2 linked regions of the Alligator mississippiensis genome follow. The protein of the gene in region 2 purifies or fractionates together with the protein of the main gene of each other region. This does not show direct contact. Links are inferred from orthologs where the notes say so. Each region holds a gene or a part of one and is shown on either strand. Other genes may lie near its edges.

Region 1 (9,646 bases), on a different chromosome or scaffold from region 2:
TTTTCTTTTTTTTAGTTAACTTCCTAAATCTATTAACATTTTAAGGCCACATTTAGAAAACAGAAATACAAGTCTGTCTTAGGAAATCAAGACAGTGTAACTTTATCAAAAAATCAAGTGATAAATGAATGTATCCAACCTGAGAAACATCACAGTCTTGTACTAATAAAGCTACTTCAAATAAAACACTTTAAGGGAGAAAGTCAACATCAAAAATGGCTCCTGTAGCTTTAAAGAAAGCAGATGGGGGTATATATAACTATAAAAACACACCACGCCATAGAATTTAGGATCTGTATGTAATTAATTTTATTTCTCCTGTGTCTCCCTGAAATCTGCTAACTAACCTTAAGTTTGATTCCACTTATTATAAAGTTTAAATCACAATTTGTTTGAAATACACAGTCAGGAAATGTTTACCTTTCAGTATAATTTCTCCTTTGCTATTATTAAGAAAGTATGAAAAAAGGTTAGGATAAATGAACTAAGAAATATCTCAAAATCTACTGTATTCACCTATTGATTTTTCTAGCAGTGCTAAGGAAAAAAAAAATCAGACTTTTTCGATTTTATTATGTTACCTTTCATACTGTAATTGCCTTTCCAATAACATTCCATTCAATTGATATTTAAACCACAGCAAGTCTTTGAACACTGTAACAAGCAATATTGATTGTCTATATACATGAGATGGGTCTTGTTGCTAAAATATTTGATAAGAAATTATTAGATTTTTGGTTTGGAGCTAAACCTTCTGGGTCTCATTAACCTATAATGTGTTATAGAAGATCCAGTTTTCAGCCCCTGGGCTTGAACTAGCAAATTGGTGAGAAAGTTTAAAAGCCCAACAAATGGTTCAGGCCTAGCTTTTCCCTGTAAGATGTCACTAGTGCCTTGTTGATATATTTTGTCAATCCTAAAGAAGGGAAAACAGGCAATAAATGATCTGTTTCACCACCTCCCTTCTGCTCTGCTGCTGAAGTAACTGCCTGATCACGTGGATGAAGTGTACTATAGATTCTGCTAGAATTCAACGTGGACTATTTGTATCTTGGGCCAAATCTCCTGCTCCCAATGAGGTGGAGAAAATACTTTTTTTTTTTCTAAAAAGCCATTGCCATTCATTATTTGGGGATTTCTCCTCCTCTGTGTGGTATCTTCCCCTAAACTGCAAAGTATCTACATTGTAGCCAGAATAATTCCTTAACACAAGAGGATCCCTCAACAAAAGGCCAAGGGCATGGAGACCTCGACTGTACGCTTCTTTAAAATCTAGCTGGAGAAATAGCATCCATTTAAAAACAGAAAGACTCTATTTTTCTGTTTAAAGCAAAAATAAGGCAAGTGAAATCATTACAGACCACTCAGTAAGAGTTCTCCAGTACAACCAGTTCCCTCCCTGCAATTTATTTAAAATACACTCCCTGCATGAAATATTCAAACAAGTCCTTATTAAAAAAAAATAAATTTACCTTATTAAATGTTATAATTGAAAACAAAAAAGAAAGAAAGAAAAAGAAAAGTGATCAAACTAACTGGAAACTATACAGCTTAAAAGAGAGCGAGAGAGAACTTCTGGCCTCACATGTATTGGAAACCTAAAAACAGATCTCAGTCATACACCACCTTGAGTAAACTACTGCATCATTTGTAATCATTTCTTAAAACTTACTTACAAAGTAACTTTAAAAAATAAATGTAAAAAAACCCACATAAAGAAGATCAGCACTGACTCGTGCCTAGCTTGGGGCACATCTCAAGTCCCCCAAACCTCTATATCACATCTAATTTCACATGCACGTATTTGGGCTGGTATTTTTATTTATCATTACCTTAGCTATTTTTCAACAGGGAAAAAATAAAAGAAATTAAAATGCTGTATTACCTTTGCTTTTTAGGAACTGAATGTTCAATCTCTAGCTGTTTTCCATGTAGCTCCACTTTCCCTAAAAACAAAATGTGTCCTTTTTTTAAATCTGGGTGGGGGGTCAGAAAGACTTGGATAACATTCTCTCATGTGAAACCTTGCATTTTAATTCAAATGATGCTGGACTGCACACAAAAATACATTTTCTGGTCCTTTTGCAAGTGCACTTTATTAAATATAAAACTGGCCTCCAACTGGGAAGGACTGGGAGGGAGTGGTGTGTAGCTGCCAGGACAATGTTGCCCAGGAACATTTAATTCCTTATCATACTGCTCAGTGTATTGAGAAGAGGCATGCTCCAGAGAAAGAAAGAAAAAAAAAAGGAATTACATTTTAAGATTAATAAAAGGGGGGCAAAAAAAATCATTTTTTCCAGGACTCCTAGGGGCACGTTTCTCATGCAAGGGCTAAAAACAATAATAATAAAATACGACTCAGGAGAAGAAATGGGCCTCCCCTTTGCAAACGGAGAGACGTGCTCTGCGATCGGCTGCTTTTGGGGGGAGAAAATAGGGTGGGGGGTGTGGATTGGAGTTTGGGAGATCTTGGGAGAATCAAAAATGTATTTGCTTCCCTAGTAGTTTCTCTCTCTCTCTCTGAGAACAGCATGGCGACCTTCGCGCTACTACACACATCACATGCCCCAGGAAACCCAGTTTCAAATCAAAATGGCCAAGATCCAAGCCCACCACCCCTCCTGCCGATGGGACCCCGACACTCGCCAGGGCCCCACTGGCCTGGGGTGGGGGGCAGAGTGGAGGGCCAGGCGCCTGGGCACCCCAAAGGCCTGGTGCTGCTTGCAAGGGGGGAGGGGAGGCGGGTATTTGGGGGGGGGTGGAATGATCGCCCACACTGGAGGAAGGGGGCAGCCCGGGTGCTGGGTCCAGGGGCTCGCATGCCGAGGAGGGGGTGCTCTCTGGGGAGGCTGCAGGCCGGGGAGGGAGGAGAGCGATCGGTCTGGCCCTTCGCCTTCCCAAGGGCTTCTCCTTTTTTATTATGATTATTATGTTTCTTCTTCTTCGTGTATTTCTTTCTCTGTTTTGGAAGGCAGGGGGAGTGGATCGGGGAGGCCAGGTTCCCCCCGAGTGACTTGGCCGGGGGGCCTCCCCCAGCCCCGGGGGGATCCGTGCGAGGCCCTGGGAATGGACGCGGAATGGGAGGGCCGTGGCCGTTCAGCAGGGAGACGAACTCGGGGAACCATGAGCAGGAGGGTGGGAGGGGGCCGCGATCCCGCTCCACGCCGCCGCCGGGATCCCTTTCTTCCGTCGCGATGCTCCGGCTCCTGCTGCAGCCCCAGGAGGAGAGGGGGCCGGGGGGAGCGGGGCCGGGGGGCGTAGGGGGGGGGAGACAGAGAGAGATAATCTGCTTACCAGAAAAAGTTTCGATGGCTTTCATGGCCCATTGCTCATCAGGGCAATCCACAAAGGCATAGCCAGATTTCACCAGGAACTGGCCACTGAAGGAGATCTTGTGGTCATTGAAGACTTTCTCCAAATCTGCTGGAGTCACGTTTTCGTTTAGGTTCCCAATGTACAGCTTGTTCATGGTGGCTCCCGGAGCTGGGGAGGGCGGTGGGGGGGCGGGGGGGCTGTCAGAGGGGAGAGGGGGGGCGGTGTGGCAGAGTGCGGGAGAAACTTTTCTGCTTTCTCTCTCTCGGAAGAGATGAGCGGGGTTGGGGTGGGCGGGGGGGAGGAAAAAAGCCACCGCTCAGCCCCGGAGGGGGAAGGAGAGAAAGGAGAGGGGGAGACGAGAGGAAAGACAAGAAAAAGTTCCCAGTTCCAACTGGAGTCCACCAACTGGGGAGGCAAGTTGTGTGCTTTTCTGCCGGGGAGGGGCCGGGGGAGGGGGGGACCGAGCTGGCTCTCCTTGTTTCAGGCTCAATGGGGGGAGTTGGTTGGTTCAACTGGTATGGCGGGCTGGGGAAGTGCTGCCGCTTTTCTTTCAGCCCCCCAACTCCTTTGAGTCGCACTCATATGTCACAGGACGTTTCTTAGCCTGCCTGGCACCGCCTCTAAATAAAATCGACCTGAAAAAATGAGTGAAAATGTTTGCAAGAGGAAGCCACGTGGTCGTGCACACGGACCAGCCCCTGCAGTAGGAGGGGCGCGCTCCGCCGGGGGGAGTGGGCACCTCGCTTATTCCTTTTCTTATTATTTTTTTTCCCCCTTAATACTATTTTATTTACCATTCCCCCCCTGGGCTGCCTTGACGTCTCGGTGCCTTCTCCACCGGCCTCATGCCAGCCCACCCCCTCTCCGCCCCCACCACCCTGCCCTCTTCCAACTCAGCCTTCCCTCCGCGATCAAACCCACCCACCCCCATCCTGGCTGCGCTCCCCCCACCCCCTTCCCCTTCCCCTTCTTGCTTCCCCTCCCCCCATGGCTTCCAAGTGCTTGAATGGGCTTTTTTTTTTTCTTCCCTTTGCTGGGTGTAAACTTCTTCATCAAAGGAAATGCGGATTCAGGCGCACCGTGGGGCTGGGCGAGAGAGGCGAAGTTTCAGTTTGGGACCACGCGGGGTGGGGTGCAGGGATCAATAAAGAAAAAGGGAGCACAACAATGAAACCCAGGCATCGATCAGCTCGTGGGGGGGTTGGGGCTGGGATGGGTCCCTGGGATCTCTCGGCAAACGTGTCCCTCGCTCATTGTTTCCACCAGAAGCCCTCAAGTCTGGAGGTGGTGGCTGGGCTGGGGGGAGGGAGAAAAGGCACAAAGGAGGGAGATCGGGCTCCGGCAACTCCGCACGGCGCAGCCCCCTTTTTTGCCCAGACCACGTTGTCGAGGGAAGGATGAATGAAGCCCTTTCCCACTCGCACAGCGCACACTTTGGCATGGCAGGGCGCTCTGCTCCCCTGTGCGTGTGTGTGCTGGGGGGAGAGGAGCGGAGCCGTGCCCAGATCTCTCCGCTCCCCCAGGGGCAGGGTTTGCTCTGGGCTGCCCCCCCCACCGCGCCGGGCTTTGGGGCAGGGGCTGGAGCCGCGCCCGGCGCAGAGCCATCCTGCAGCTCGTGGCCGCGGCTGGACGGGACCCCCCGGGTCTTGCCCTTCGCGGCTCGGCTACGATTCGGTGCACGGCAATGGACACCCGCCTGGCTGGACCCTCCCCCACTCTACACACACACACACACCCACCCCCCCTTCTTGCAGTGCCTCTATTCTCAGCCTGCCTTTTCGGGAGACTTTTATTTTTAGGCTCGCGATCGGTGTAAAATTAGCCACATGTCCCTCCTTCCCCATCCTCCAGTGGGGAGCGGGGGGGGAGAAAAAAAACCTCCCCCTCTAAAGAAGCGGGGGGGGGGGCCCAGAGTATCCACTTGGGTCCATTGGGTCACGAGGAGCGCAGGCTGGATTTCATGAATGGAAGGGGGGGGAGTGCGGGGTTCAGCGCCAAAGTGCTAACCCCTCCCCCCCATGGCAACGGCCCCCCCCCCCCTCCTTGTAGAAGAGGGCTGGGGAAGGGGATTGCAAGCCTTCATTGTCTCCCGGGGTGTGTGGCAAGGGGAAGAGTCCATGATCTCGTGAGCTCAGTCCCTGCGCTGGGTGGATCTCTTTCGGCTCCTAGAATAGCCTGTTCTGAGGTCAGCTCAGTCATTAAAGCAGGGGAAGAAGGGAAATCCATAGGGGGAGGGAGGAAGGAAGGAAGGAGGGTGGGTGGGAGGGAGTGCGGGGGGGGGCTGTGAAGGAATCATTGACAATCCCTTTCCAGAGGCAGCAGAGAAGACGTCCCCGAAGAGGCACCAGTTGTCCCAAGAAAAGCAAAACTTTGGCCCTTTCCTTTCCCTGAGCTGGGATCTAGCCTACTTGATGCCTCCCCAGTACAACTGGGAGCTTGGTGGTTTGTGCTGCAGGGGAAGGGGCGGGGGAGCCCACTGGAATCTGTTGGCCAAATGGTGTGTGAGAGTGTTTCTAACCGGCTGGAATAAACCGATTTCTTTGCAGGCTGCTTGTGCCGCGTTACCCGTGGAGGGGCTGCGAGTTCCCGCAGCAGGTTGTTCATGTCTGAGGATTGGGCAAAGTAGGAGCAGAGCAGTTCTGCCTGGGATCTTTCTCAGACGTGCAGCATTTAAAGAATAAGCATCATAATAATATAATGCACAATTGCAGGCTGCAGAGCAGTGGGGCCGGCCGCGCTGATGCTAATTCTTCACCCAGATAGCTGGACTTTGTAAGCCCCCAAGCACAACTGCTTGAAATGGACATTCAAGAAAAGAAAAGGGGAAAAAAAGCCTGTGGTCCTTTTCCGATGGGTTATTAATACATTCTGGACAGTCAACACATGGTTTATAAACTCCCAATATTAGTATAGACACATTTCTTCCCTTTATTGTATTTAACTACAGTAGTTCCCAGTAACATTTACTAACACGTGGTTGGTTTGTTTTTTCCACCAGAGGATACAGATAGAGATTTTGTTGTTATTGTTGATTCTGTTTCGAAAGAAATCTAGTCACATGTGAGTAACATTGTAGCTGTTTTAACTCCTCCAGTAAAACTCAACTGGAAACTGCTTAGTTAAGGATTTTCTGTATTATTTTAATCGGTCAGAAACGTTGATATACAAGCTAACTTTACATTTCCTTTCCCCTTGGTAACCCTTCTGCAGGGTAGTAAATTTCTTCTAAGTACTTATTTGGAGGCTTGATTTTTGTGTTTGGCTTCTGGCTTGATTTTTTCTGGACACTAAAATGATACATGCACTACTAACATACACTCCAGGGTGATTTGGTTATCCCTCAAATGTGGTTCCATATTTACATTAATTAATTTCTAAAATGTTTCTAAATAGTTGGGGGGGGGGTTGTATTAAAGATTGCTTTCACGGTTTGTTAGTAAATAAAGTTTAAACCACTCAAGTTGTGTTCATTTCCTGTGATTTACACTTACAGCTAACAAAGTGTGTGTGTTGGATGCCACTGATAGTTAAGAACTTAAAGAGAATTGAGAAGTATCTTTTTTTTTAAAGATTCTAAGACGATAAATTATTTGTGCTTTTCACTGCATACTAACCAGTTTCTATTTTCTTGTGGTCCCTGATTTAAAAAAAAACATGCAGATGCTGTTCACCACAAGAAGTTTTGTTACCAACCTCCTAGCTGCCCTTACTACCTCTTGTTAAAGTCCCAAACTAAATTCACCAGAGCAGTCTTTGCAGGGAACTGCTGTGGCCATATTCATGTTACTGAGGCATTCAGTTTGTAATTCGAGCCTGAAATTTACAGGTGAAAAGAACAGAGCTCTGAAATTTCTAAAGAAACTTACTATTGCAGAGAAAATGCCTTTCAAATCTTCTCTGCAACTAAATTGAAAACTGCAATGCTCACCTATTTACACACACGGAAATATGCCGTGGACAAATGTGCCCAAGTCTAAATAAATGAGTTGTTTTGATCACTGCTTGGTTTAGATCTATAGCAAAACTTGGTACAATACTTTTGTTATAGTTTATTAATTTACAGGGACCACTCTTCATGTTTCAGAATCTTTGCAATAATTAAGTTAAGGAAACCAGTCTTAAAAACAATCCAAACAAAGAGGGAAGTCTTCAATTTAGATTTGAAACAAGAAAGAGTATCAGTCAAACGACTTCCCCTTGGAGCATTCCAGATGCAAGGTATTTAGAGAATGCAAACAGAAGAAGCAGTTAAATCATTGATCTACTTGGGGGGAAAATAGACCTGTATTCATTCACTTAAAGAAGATGGTGAGAGAAGACTGTCACACCATTTTAAACTTGATTCTTAATTCTTCCATATCCCAACTGAGTATCTTGTAGGAAAAATTCCTTTCCCCCCTGCCCCCAACCCAGCCTCCCCACCCCCAAAACACACAAAACCTATAGTGGGAAATATTTTTTGCTTTTGGAAAGTTAAAAGCTGTTACCAATTGCAACAAAAATCCAAAAGGGAAATGTTAATGAAAATGCTATGATAAGCAACAGTTTTTATTAGATGAATAGCAGCACTAGTTTTATCAATAAGTTTGTGGCCTTTTTCAGTATTTCTCTAAACAAAGTTGCACTTTTAAAGTCACTTTGAAGAGTTGCTTTTTTTGTATATTGGTTGGACATTAAATTGAGGGAAAATTTGTACGTCTTTTTCTTTTACATCAGCTTGCAGTTTTTGCTTATGGTTTAGTAAAAGCCTTATCTTTATACTGACATCTTCTGATCAGGCAAAAAATTGATTCTTGTTGAATTTTTACAATGTATTTTCCAGTACAAATATCAAATATTTCTTAAACTTTTAGAAAAATTCCTTTGGGAGGAGAATTGAAAGAGCTGGCAAAAAAGACTCATGGGATTTCAGCAAAATATGGGGTTAATATGAGAAAATATAATTAGTCTACTATTTTCTGTTTCAGATTAACAACAATAAATTATTTGTGCTTGAAATCACCTTTATGGTACACTGGTAGCAAACAAGAATTAGTTAAAAACAGAAATTTCTCTACATTCCTTCATTTAATTTTCCAGTTGTTGATAAAGGAATTAATTTTGTTTGTGTAAGATTAATATAGTTTCAAAAACACTTAGAATTCTGAAAAATCTAAATCAGCAAGTTTGAAAGTATGTGTTTAGTAACACCTAACAAATATGTGCTGAGAGTCTTGAATAACATCTAAAGTATATAAAGCACAGAAATAAGGTTTTTTGTTTTTAAAAATGATCCATTTAAATTATATTAATTGAAATGATCCATTTCAATTATAGGTCAACTCTTAACATTAATCTGAATACAAGGCATGTGTAGTCATAATGTTTGGGAGACAATTCAAATTGAAAGGAAGAAGGAACACTATAATGTATTTCATTTTATTATAACTAGAACCACAGCTTAAACTACCTTTTGTTCAATGTTATATATTACATCAAAAGTATTCATGACTAGTTCTCATCTCAGACGATTCAGCTGATTTCAGCTGGTTCTGATGAAGTTGTTCAAAATAAAATTAATTCTGAAATGATTAGTTAGATTTGAGAACCAAATAGAGATGTGAATTAGCTTAATTTCCACTGATTCTGTGAACATCTTTAAATAAAATCTATGTATTTAAGTAACGTTGTGTCAAAACACAGGAATAAAGCATTCAGGATACCACAGTAAAAGATCAAAAATACACTTTTCCCTCTGTGAAAGGGCACTTAAGTGTGAGATGTGTGAGATCCAAATGTGGAAACAAGTCAGCATGAAAGAGAACTAGTGTTTAAGATGGAAATGGTTAGGGCTGAAGCTTTCCTGGAGATCTGGACATTTCATAAACATTTAAGTGCTTCAGTTAAAAAAAAAGCAAATACTGAAATGGACACTGGGTCAAAAATCTAATCATATATTTAAACAAAATCCTTTAGCTATGTTAATAACACCAACTTAAACCATTAAAACTGAGGGTTGCAGTCTTTGAAAACCTATTTTCCTCATCCTTACTGATTGAGTTTGTTTACTGTGTTTGCATTCAGTTTATTCTAGAATGGTCAGTTTCACTCCTCTCTCTGATCAGTTTCACTTTCAGGTTCTGCTGAGCTAGCAGTGTGATCCTGTGTTGGAGTTTAGAAACTTTCAGATAAATGTTTGAATTACAACAGCACCCCCCACACACACACTTTTAAGATACATATACAGAAAAGCATGAAAATGCTTTTGTTTGTGTTTAGTTTTGCAACCCCCAGCCCCATTGCTTTGCTGTATTAAGTGATTCCTTAATTTGGAGACATTAAATAGGTT
Region 2 (10,420 bases):
TATAGCCACCCCTCCCAGCACCATCCACCCACCCCGCCCCTGCCCAGCCTCCCTTCCACTGGGAAGAAGCCAGCACAGCCCTTGGCCCCAAGCCTGCAGCAGGCAGCTTGTCCTATGCACAAGTCTAGGGGGGCCACATGCCCCCCATTCCTCTCCCAGGGGACTGTGTGACAGGGAGCCCCCCTCCCAAGACAAGTCACCTGCTGATCTGCCCTGCATCGCGCTCCGTCCCAGGGTTGCATTCACCACCCTGGCTGGGCAACATCTGCCCCTGCCTAAGCCCCTCCCTCACCATGGGGGGCCCCCCCATCTGCTCCCCCCCACACCCCTTCCTCTCCACAGACTTACCAGCCAGACACTGCTCTCCAAGCTGCTGGGCTGCACTCCTGGCCACATGCACGCATGCACGGGGAATTTACAGGTGACGTTCTTTGTTATACTGGCCAAAAAAACCCAACTACCGATAATGTTAATTTTCCTTTTACCATTGCTGATCTGATATGCCACCAATACATCAATGCACCTCTAAAAAAATACTACATACAAACGAATGCAACCTCACTGTGAGCATAGCAACTTGATTTATTTTAGTAAGCTAATTTGAAAGAAATAACTGGAGTTACTAAGTGGGGTTTAACTCTGCAGCGAAGACGTACTTTTGCAAGAGAAACCATGAGGTAGCGCGAGAGTTTTACTTATAGGAAGCAGGAAAAGGGAATTCCTGGAGGAGACAACGCATCTCAGGAAAATGACGAGGTGAGATCTTGGAGAAAGGGATGAGAGGGTAGAAGTAATGAAAACACTATGGAAACGGAAAAGGGAATTGCTAAAAGAAAGCAGGGAATATAGTTATCATTAGAAGGAACGGACAAAAGGATCCTTTGACAAGGGACGTCCAAGGGAAGGTGGATGACAGAGAAGAGATTAAGTAAAATCCTTAACAGCAGGCCTGAAGCATCACCGGAACAGGCAGCAACCCACAGTAATGGAAGCCTTAGAGAAAATGGAGCGTACAAGGAACAAAAGGGAAGCAAATGGGGTACTTGGAAGGACATACAGCACCCCAAGAAAGTGAAGTAGATAGAGAAGTGAGCAACCCAGGAAGAAAAAAGAAGTGAACAGTAAAAGATGACGAGTGCAGTGGGAGGGAGGAGAATAAGGGAGAGAAACATCATTCAGAAAAGCAATAAAACATGCAGCCCGAGGGAACCCTGGAAAAGGCAAGATGACAGCGGCCAGGGTGCGCTCCCGGGCTGAAACAGAGGATTCTTTTGGGGGGGATGTAGTGGAGGGCAAAGAAATCCAGGAAGAGCACGGGAGCAAATCCTCATAGGCAGCAAGCCTAGGGAGACACGGAGAGGACCGACGGTGCTGGAGCATGACGCAGGCACCGAAATCCGCTCTCCAGGGATGATGGAGAAGAAGGGATCCGGCAGGTGTAGCCTCCAGCCTCGGTGCGGAAGAAGCCGGGAGCCCCAGCGGCTGCGGGGACCGAGGCATCCCGGCGCGGGACGGAGGGCACCCGAGGGGCGGGGAAGGAGGCAGGGGGAGGACGACGACAAGTAGAGCCGCGGAGGCAGCGGGCGGGCAGCAGGAAGCGGGCACCGCGGCCGGGCTCTGAGGAGGAGGCGGGGAGCGGCGCAGGCGGACGAGGAGCCACGGGCGCTCGGCAGGGGCGGGTCAATCTCGCCCCGGGCTTCCCCGCGCGGCTCGCCGCTGCGCCCCACACCCACCTCCCGCCACCCGGGCCGGCCCCGAGCAAAGCAGCGGGGCGGAGCTGGGGCGCGGCCCCGTTACCTGTACTGCGGCCCGGCGGCGCCGTGAGGGAAGCTGTAGTAGTTGCTGGCCGCCATCTTGGCGTCCTCACAGCCCGGCAGCGCACGAGGCCACGTGACTCCGAGCGGGCCCCGCCCCCCGCGCGTGCGGCCGGAAGCGTGGTCACGTGGGGCCCTGCGCGGTGGCGCAAGCCCGGCTCGTCACGCGGCCGCTTGGCGCCCCCTGGCGGCTTCCCCGGGCGGCGGTCCCTGCGCGCCCAGCCGCATGGGAGCCTGTCCTGTCCCCGCCGCACCCGATAGAAACCGGCGGGAGAGCTCTCGAGCAGCGGCTTCATGACTGGTTGCCTCTTTCTACAGCTGGATAGACATTTTGATGGTGTGATAAGGACTTTTTGCATGCGTGGGAGGACCAGATTTATTGCACGATTAACTGGTTAATTGCATGATAATTAGTGTGCACTTGTGGCCTGTCTAAATTTACTGTGCGAGTAACTCGTTAATTGTGCAATGCATGTAACATGGAGCAGGGCCCTAGAGCTCTGCCCAGCATCGTTTCAATGTGAAGCCAGTGTGCATCTTCCAGTGCACTGCACTTTCCAAAGACAGACAAGTTTCTTTGAATAAATCTGGTATCTTTTATTACACCAACTCAGTTGGGCTTATAAAAAATACCAAATTTACCCAAATAACTTTGTCTGCCTATGTTCTTAGACCAACACGGCTACGACCAACACCCCTTTCACTCTCCAGTGTTACAGCCTCATTACCCAGTCTTAAACGTCATGGTGTTGCTGAAGTGTCATAGGAACATGACAAGGAAAGGACCTTCTGGTTCCAGTGCCAGGCTACGTTCAGGCATCCATGTCAAATAATCCTATGAATAGGTTGATCAAGGCTCAAGAAAATCCTCCACATCAAATGGGAAGACAGCCACACAAACACCAATATTTTTGCTGAAACCAGTTACCAGCCACGAGCTGGCGATCCTCAAGCACCAGCCGTGCTGAATTGGATGTGTGCAGATGTCTGACTCCTGACTCCCAAAACAAGTGCTCTACTCCCAGTTTAGCTATAGCCTGAGCTCTTGTGGCCAGAGGAAATGGTACCAGGACACATTCAAGGCAGACCACAAGAAAACAGATGCCAACATCAAGAGCTGGGAAAAGCTGGGTGCCAACTCACTCCAATGGCACTGGAACCTCAACCAAGTGGCAGCCAATTCTGAGGTAAAACGCCTTGCTCTCAAAGCACGGGAGAGAGAGCAGGGGAAGGAAAATGAGTGAAATCCCAGCGTACATCCAACTCCGCCCTGCAGAAAGACCTGCAACTTCTGTGGACGGATCTGTGGCTCAAGGATTGAACACTTATGTCAACTCAAGATCCATCAGTAAGATGTGGTAAAGATCATCCTCAAATCAAGGGATTGCCAACAACATTCATCAAGCTCCATTTTAAAACTAGTTAGGTATTTTGCCTCCACTACTCATATTGGAAGGCTCTTCTAGAATCTCACTCTGATGCTTATAAGTCTTCTAATTTCCAGCCTAAATTTATTCAAGCCACACTGTCCCCATTTGTTATTATGCCAACCTTGTCCATTACCTTAAACAGCTCCCTTCCCTTCCTAAATTCTCCTATAATGTATTTATAGAGAGCAGTCATGTTCTCAATTTTCTTAAAATATCAATACAATATGATTTAATTGCACCAAAAATAATTCATGCTCCATATGCCAACATACTAGACTCAATGTGTTTTATGATGTGCTAAATGTCACCACACTGCATCATCATGGTAGCACTGTGCCAATGAGCATCACATTTTTTGATTCCATATCATAATGCAACATGAAAGCACTACACAGATGTGTCAGTATGTTGAATCAAAACATCATGACAGATCTAAGACACTGCAGTAATATAACACCACACTTTAAAAAAAGCATAAATCAAAAGTGCTGCTGCTTCAAATCATCACAACTTTACACAACAACGGTTTTCTTGCACTGCAACTGAATATATGCTTGTGTTATGAAGTGATGCCATGGCATAAAAATGTCACGTGGTAAAACAGGACAAAGACTCAGTATGGCCTCACTCTGAGCTGAAGTTTGGACTTCAAGGGCTCAGAGGGTTTTGGAGACTGAAAGGGTTTTAAGACACCCATGACCTTTCTAGAGACAGTTGTGAGGATTAAACTCAGTATTATTTGAGAAAACCCAAGACTGGTGATAACAGAAGGCTGCCATCATATGAGTGAGAAAACTGTAACATGATAGCTGGCAAACAGCAAATTCAGGCGATGGCAGGTGTCCAAATATCTTCAGTATTTTCACAAAGCCTCTATATCAGGATCAGCCAGGTTTGAAATGTACATCATGTGGAGCCTTCCCAAGGTAACCGTGAGGAAGAAGAGTCAGGCTAATGTAATGTCATGGCTTCCCTCCCCTAATGGTTAGTCTTTTTTACTAAAGCTGGTATGAAGCTGCCTCTCAATACTTTCTACATGATCAGGTGTCCCCCCAGCCTGTGACAGAGATGGGGCTGCTCCAAATGCCAGTGTCATGTCCGCAAACTGGAAATTAGAATAGCCCCAAATTTACGGGCCATTAGAACATGACTAGTTGAATAGGATTCACTGGGCAACCAGCAAACTAAGTATTCATGAGTCCAGAAGTGCCAAACAAAACCATTGGCATTAATAAAGTTGAAATCTATTAAAACTCAAGATGGCTTGAAGAAAATTATTTGCATTTTCAGTTTCTGATTTTTCATGTATTCCAAAATAATGACAATTTATGGGCAGTCCACATACAGATACAGGGATGGATGACAGCAAACACATCTGTATGTGTGATCATATCACCTCAATTGTATACCTTTGGCAGATCCAAATTTACCTGCATTCCACCAAAAAGCGTTAGCTCACATTTACAGCTGCGACGTATATTATTATTAAATACAGAATCATACATTTGCGCTTGCGTAACATTTACTGTAAAGAAAAATATCTCACAAAAATTGAAGAAAAAATCATTTTCTGATGTCCTTTATCTTGAGTTTTATCCTGTCCATTTCTTTACGTCAAGGAAGAGCATTTCCAGGCATTTTCCTTTTTAGATTTCAACCCGTACTGCCTTATTGTGCTGAAAATAGCAGCCACGGAGAGTGAGGGGCGTTTCGTTCCATCCCTGCAGATGGAAGTGGGATTGAATGCTTGACGGGAAGGGACGTGGAAGGGATTTTACAAACCCGCCCCTATGAAAAATGGATTGTTTGGGGCGCCCATGGATTATCTCTGGCCAAAAATGTCCTTTTGTTTGACAGAGAGGAAGGGCCAACAAGTGTGAATGGTGCCAACTACCACCCCCAAGCTGGGCCTTGCTGCTCGTCACCACTACAACGCGTGTCTCCTGCCCTCCAGGCCCTGCGGGCAAACCTCCCGCGATGCCAACCCCAGCCCCGCAGGAAAGAAACCCTGGCGCCTGCAAGGCCGTTCCGCCGGCTCCACCTCGCACTTTGCCTCACGAGGTGGACAAGGAAGAGGTGCCTCGTCCAGCCCCCACGGAGCGCTGACACCAGGGGCTCCCGGGCGCGCTGGTGCCCCGCGAGGCCGGCGGGGGTGCTGCACGCAGCCCAGGGAACGATGCGGCCTGGCCTAGCGAGGAAGCCCCGCGGGGCAAGTCTCCGCCCGCCCGCGCCGGGGATGGAGGGAGGACTGAGGATGGGGGACTCCGGACCCCCTCCCCCCCACCGGGAGGTTCCGCCTCCGGTCCGCAAGTGACGGGCGGGCGGCCGCTCCAATGGCTCCTCTGGCACGTGGGCCGCGCAGCCAATGGGGCTCGGCGGGCGGGGCGGGGGCGTGGCCAGCGGCGCTGCGAGCGGCTTGTTGTGCGCTGCGGAGCCGTTCGTGCTGCTTCCAGGCCCCGCCGGAGTCCTGACGGGTGAGGCAGGCGGGCGGCCCGGGCGGGTGCGCGCGCGGGAGGCCGGTGCTGAGGCGCGGGGGCAGCCGGGCCGGGCCTGCCACCGCCGCCGCTGGGGGAGCAGCGGGACGCGACGGGCGGCGCGGCCTGCGCCTGGGCCTGGGGCGGCGGAGCCGGGGCCTGGGGCGGCGGCGGGCGCGCGGCAGGGCCCGGCGCTGCGGGGAGCGGAGCGAGGCGCGGGCCGGCCGAGGCCTGCCTGGGGCCTGCTGCGCTTGCGCGGGCGCCGCGGGAAGGCGCCGTGCCGCGGCGGCGACTCGCTGCTTTTTGTCCCCATCGCGCTTCTGCCCTGAGCCGCCCCCGGCCCGGCCCGGCCCGGCCCGGCCCGGCCCGGCCCGGCCCAGAGCAGAGCGGCGCGGCGCGGCGCGGCGCCGGGCGGGGTTTGTCCGGGCGGGCGAGCCTGGCGCGCGGCTCCCTCGTGCGAGGCCGGGGGGCCGGGCACCGGCGGGGAGGCACGTGTGCGGGAGGAGGCGGGATGTCCGTGTAGGCCCCGCGGATCGCAATGGAGAGAAAGAAACGGCAGAGCACAGCATCACCGGCGGACTCGAGCACGGCCTGTTTTCCCGGGTGTTGCTGCTGCTGGCACAGGCGGTCACTGGTTGTGCTGGGGCTTGTCACCCCTCCTTCTCCTCTTCCATCTACCTGCCCTAACGGGTGGTGGCTTCCGATTTTCTAGGCAGAGTTGATTTTGACTTCAAACGGCTTCATCCTCGCCGCCCGCTCGCACCTTTCCGTCCGCTCCGGTTTTGACGACTTCTAGCTTCTCTGACCAGACTTGCCGTGGCTGTGGCATTTCCCTGTCTAGCCTGGCTGTCTCTGGTGTTTTGTTTTGGGGTGTCCCACTGCCATTTCAAGCTGTTTCTCTAAAACTGAACTGCTTTGGGTGTTGGTGCTATTGGTCCGTACGCCCTGCGTTCCATGTGTGGGGATGGCAGCAGTCTGTTCAAAATATAATCCTTTCTGTGTGCACCAACAGTTGTACTTTTATTGTGTTCTTTGCGTGACCTTTTACTGTACTCCTCTGACCCTCTTTTGCTTTTTTTGGCAAGACCTTGTTGTTTCTTTTTTAACTTAAGCTTAGCCTGTATTATTGGTTTGTCCTTATCTTGGTCACTTCTCACCTTTACCTGTGGTAGCAACTTATTTAGTCTCCTGTTCTTTTCTCTCTTCTCTCACCAACTGCACTAGTTACTGCTGCATATATTTGCCTTTTCTGTAACTATATTTTGAGTCTGATCTGTGGTTTCCTGTCTCCGTGCACATAAAATGCATGAATTAGGCACATAATCATCATTGAAATCTCTGTGCAGCCTTTCCTCTTCCATCGCTACATTAAATCTACTTTGTTTCCCATCTTCTTGCCTTATTCCTTTGGGGCTTTGTTTTTCTCCCCTCCCCTCATTTTGAATTTTTATACCTTCTGTTACTTTTACTTTCTGCAGCTAAACTGACCACCTTGTCTCCGTCTATAGAACCATGCCCCTTTTCTTTTAAAGCCTGTCCCTTGAAAGCAAGTTCACCAGCCTGTGCCCTCTTTTTTCCGCAGGGGTGATGGTTTTTACGTAGCTATCTGATTTCAGGTGCAAGGCCTTCTGGGGTAAAGCTATCTTATAACACGTTAGTAGGACTGAAATGAAGGTTGTATCAAAACAAACATTTAGTTTTGAGAGACCTTTATTGTCTCTGAGGCTCAGACTATTTGGTAGTTATAGAAAACTTTTACAGCTTGTTCATGCTTGGAAATGTCCCAAAGCAGGTATTCTGAAACAGCTGTTTATGTACATTTTGTAGTGTAGATAAATTGTAAAAATAGAAGTCATTCTGAGTTTCCCTCTAACTTTGAGGGTTTCAATCTACTGGCATATGGAATTCCAGGATAAGATAAATTTTTCCTTTCTGAAATTTAAGTTGGGTAGCTCTCCTGTGTCTTGGAACTTAGGGGTGCATGACCTTAGTATGTAGAAGCACCAGGGTGTTGGTGCTACTCATGTATGTACATGTGGGGAGAGTTGTATCATTGGATTTAACTGATGTGTACAAAACCTATTAAAAAAGTTATTGCCTTTAACTTGTTTCAGGTATACCGTAAAAGTTAGGACTGTGATAATGTTCACTGACTCTGGTCCCTCCTTGTTTTATAAAAGGAGAAAGGGTTAAGTTACAATTCCTTTCTTTCCTTGGTCTTCTGAGGAGAGGGTTAGGAAGCTCCACTCTCTACTCAGTCTGGTGGTTAACAGGCCATCTTCTAGAGACTGAACAAGCTGGCATCTCCATTCTGTTCTGCTTTTGCTTGCTGTCACCTTCTCTGTACATTACAAATCCGATCAACAGCACTTGATCTACTGAAATGAGAGTGTAGACAACAGCCAATTCTTGGCTCTGTACAGCTGGGAATTACAGTTCTTGCCAGAGGTGGGTCTGAGGACCCCATGGTCCACATCTGGCCCAGGAAGCCAAACCAGTTTGATACCCTTGGCTTAGACCATGATTGCAGAATTCCAAGCTGGTCCCATGTACTCTCGTTACTCAGAGGGGATTTGGGGAGAGTGCCGTGACCTTTCATCTGTTGAAACAGCTTTGGAGAGGTAAGGATGGCATTTATGGTAGCTTCCATTCTGTCCCTTGTCCTGGCCCTTAGTGTTGTTAATTCCACTCTGAATGAACTGGTTGTAATTTGTCTCACTGCTGGCAAAATTAAGAAAAACATTCTTCTCCAGGGCAGTTATCTTTGTTTGCTAAGCTAAAGATTACGTGTCAGACCCGGAAACTGATAGAGGTTTCAGCCTTCTTGTAACCTTTCTGGAGGGGGTGGTATAAGCATTTACATGGTAGAAAAATAAAGCTGAGTGTATAAGAATGATACTTTAAATGTCTTTCTTTAAAATTGTGTCATATATACACAAAAGCATAAACTTATTTTACTAATTTAAACTAAAATAGAAGTATAGTAAGATTTTGCCAGCAAACATCTACTACTTAGACCACTGAAATGGTGGGAGTCGAGTACCTGAGACTAGAGTTCATTGATATGCCGAACCTACTTTTGCCAGTAGTCACCTCTTCTGGGGGTTTTGATGTTTTGAGGCCAAACAAATATGGTGCATATATTGTGAGTACTTGAGGTGCATTTTGTTGGAGACTGAGTGAGAGCAGATAATGGGATGTATGAGCCTTAAACAAAGATCCCAAAGGTCATTTTCTCACTTTTTAAAAAATGTGCGAGTGGATGTGCTAGCTTGAAGTTTTCTCTTGCTCATAATCTTGTTAGTTTATTAAAAAAAAAAAAAAAAAAAAAGCTTTGGAATTAATGATACTGTAAATGATTTCTGTCTAAATTACTTTCCATTCATTTTTAGGTCTCAGTCAGCATTCCTGGAATGCTAGGGGGAAAGTAGGGATGGGAGAGCCTGAAAACATGATGGAGAGTATATGCAAGGGAGAATTTGTGCCTGGAGAAGAATGAAATACAGTGTGTTTTCAGGGCCTTAGACAGATGCTGGTTTTTGCTGCAATTTATAGAAGCTTGGCAGAACATGAAGCTCTGGTGTTGGGTTTGTGGTGAAAAGGGGGATGTTTGGGGTGATAGCACTTGTTGGGCTTTGCACTTTCTCTAGCTCTTGCATCTCAGGAAAGTCTCATAAGTTTTGAAGTAGTGGAGATGAGATTATTCTGGCCGTGTTTTTTTTTGTCATGATCTGAGACCCTAGGTGTTTGGGCTACAAAAGCAACTCTGTTTTTCTGTTTTTATTGAGAGGGTCTCCTACCTTTATCTGTAGCACTCTTATAATAGTGAGTTGTTGGGATAAGTTCTGCAGGCTTTCCTCAGCAAGGGAAGAACCACCATATGTGAAGTTAGTTGATCAGGCATGTACTTCAGTATACAAAATATGGCAAAAGAAAACAGTGTTGAAATATTACTCTTTATTTTACTTCGTGCTCCCTACCCCAGGGGACGTTTAATATTTAGAGATCATGAGAGAGATGTGACTTAAACTTGATGGTGTAACCCTTATAGCTGTGATATTTAGTTTTAATTTGGGACTGGAAGAGGTCTAATGGGGTTATCTAGTCCAGCCCCCTACTTAAACCAGTATCATTTTTGTCTGAAGCATCCACAACAAAGACAGGTTAAGGAAACGCTTAGAATTTCTGTTGAAGATTTTTACAGTCTTTCTAGGTAATCTGTTCCAGTGATTAATACCCTCTCCCTTCTTAATTGCTAATTTTAATTTCCCCTGTTGCAATTTAAATCCAGGACTTCTCTGTGCCCAAAGAGGACTGGACAGGAATGACTGATAGCCATTCTTTTTTTTTTAATAGCAATCTTTTTTGTGGACTAGATCTGGCCTGCAGAGCTATGCCTTCTAGCCTGCAAGGGTACCAACAGGTCCAAAATTTTGCCAACAGGTGCGTGGTGGCAGCAATTGCTGCTCCCTTGCTGCCAAATTTCTGGACCCATGGGTTGCTCCATGAGCTAGATAGCACACCAGATCAGTGGGTAGAGGTGTCCCAAGGTGCGTAGGGGCCAGCTGGAGGTGGTGTGGAGTCTCGATCCAGTTGCAGGGGCCAGTCTGCCTGTGGACCTGCCCTTGACTCTAAAAGGCTGACCACCACTGACTTAGACCATATTTTCTTAGCTTACTTGGAGTACAATTTTTGACACTGA

The links. The genes of interacting proteins can lie anywhere in the genome.
Region 1: the proteins of ELAVL1 (region 2) and IGF2BP1 purify together in Homo sapiens (co-immunoprecipitation; 3 studies listed by BioGRID and IntAct, with this or other methods). This does not show direct contact. The link is inferred for Alligator mississippiensis from reciprocal best matches to the Homo sapiens genes ELAVL1 and IGF2BP1.

The regions. Positions count from the first base shown.
Region 1 is NC_081827.1:168,520,021-168,529,666, reverse strand, and holds the start of IGF2BP1 (insulin-like growth factor 2 mRNA-binding protein 1), read right to left. Parts: upstream 3,938-9,646; 5' UTR 3,473-3,937; coding exon 3,298-3,472; intron 1,947-3,297; coding exon 1,886-1,946; intron 1-1,885. UniProt on the Homo sapiens protein: RNA-binding factor that recruits target transcripts to cytoplasmic protein-RNA complexes (mRNPs). This transcript 'caging' into mRNPs allows mRNA transport and transient storage.
Region 2 is NC_081839.1:9,482,424-9,492,843, forward strand, and holds the start of ELAVL1 (ELAV-like protein 1), read left to right. Parts: upstream 1-5,610; 5' UTR 5,611-5,718; intron 5,719-10,420. Other genes in the region: ZFR2 (zinc finger RNA-binding protein 2), read right to left, coding at 1,798-1,853. UniProt on the Homo sapiens protein: RNA-binding protein that binds to the 3'-UTR region of mRNAs and increases their stability.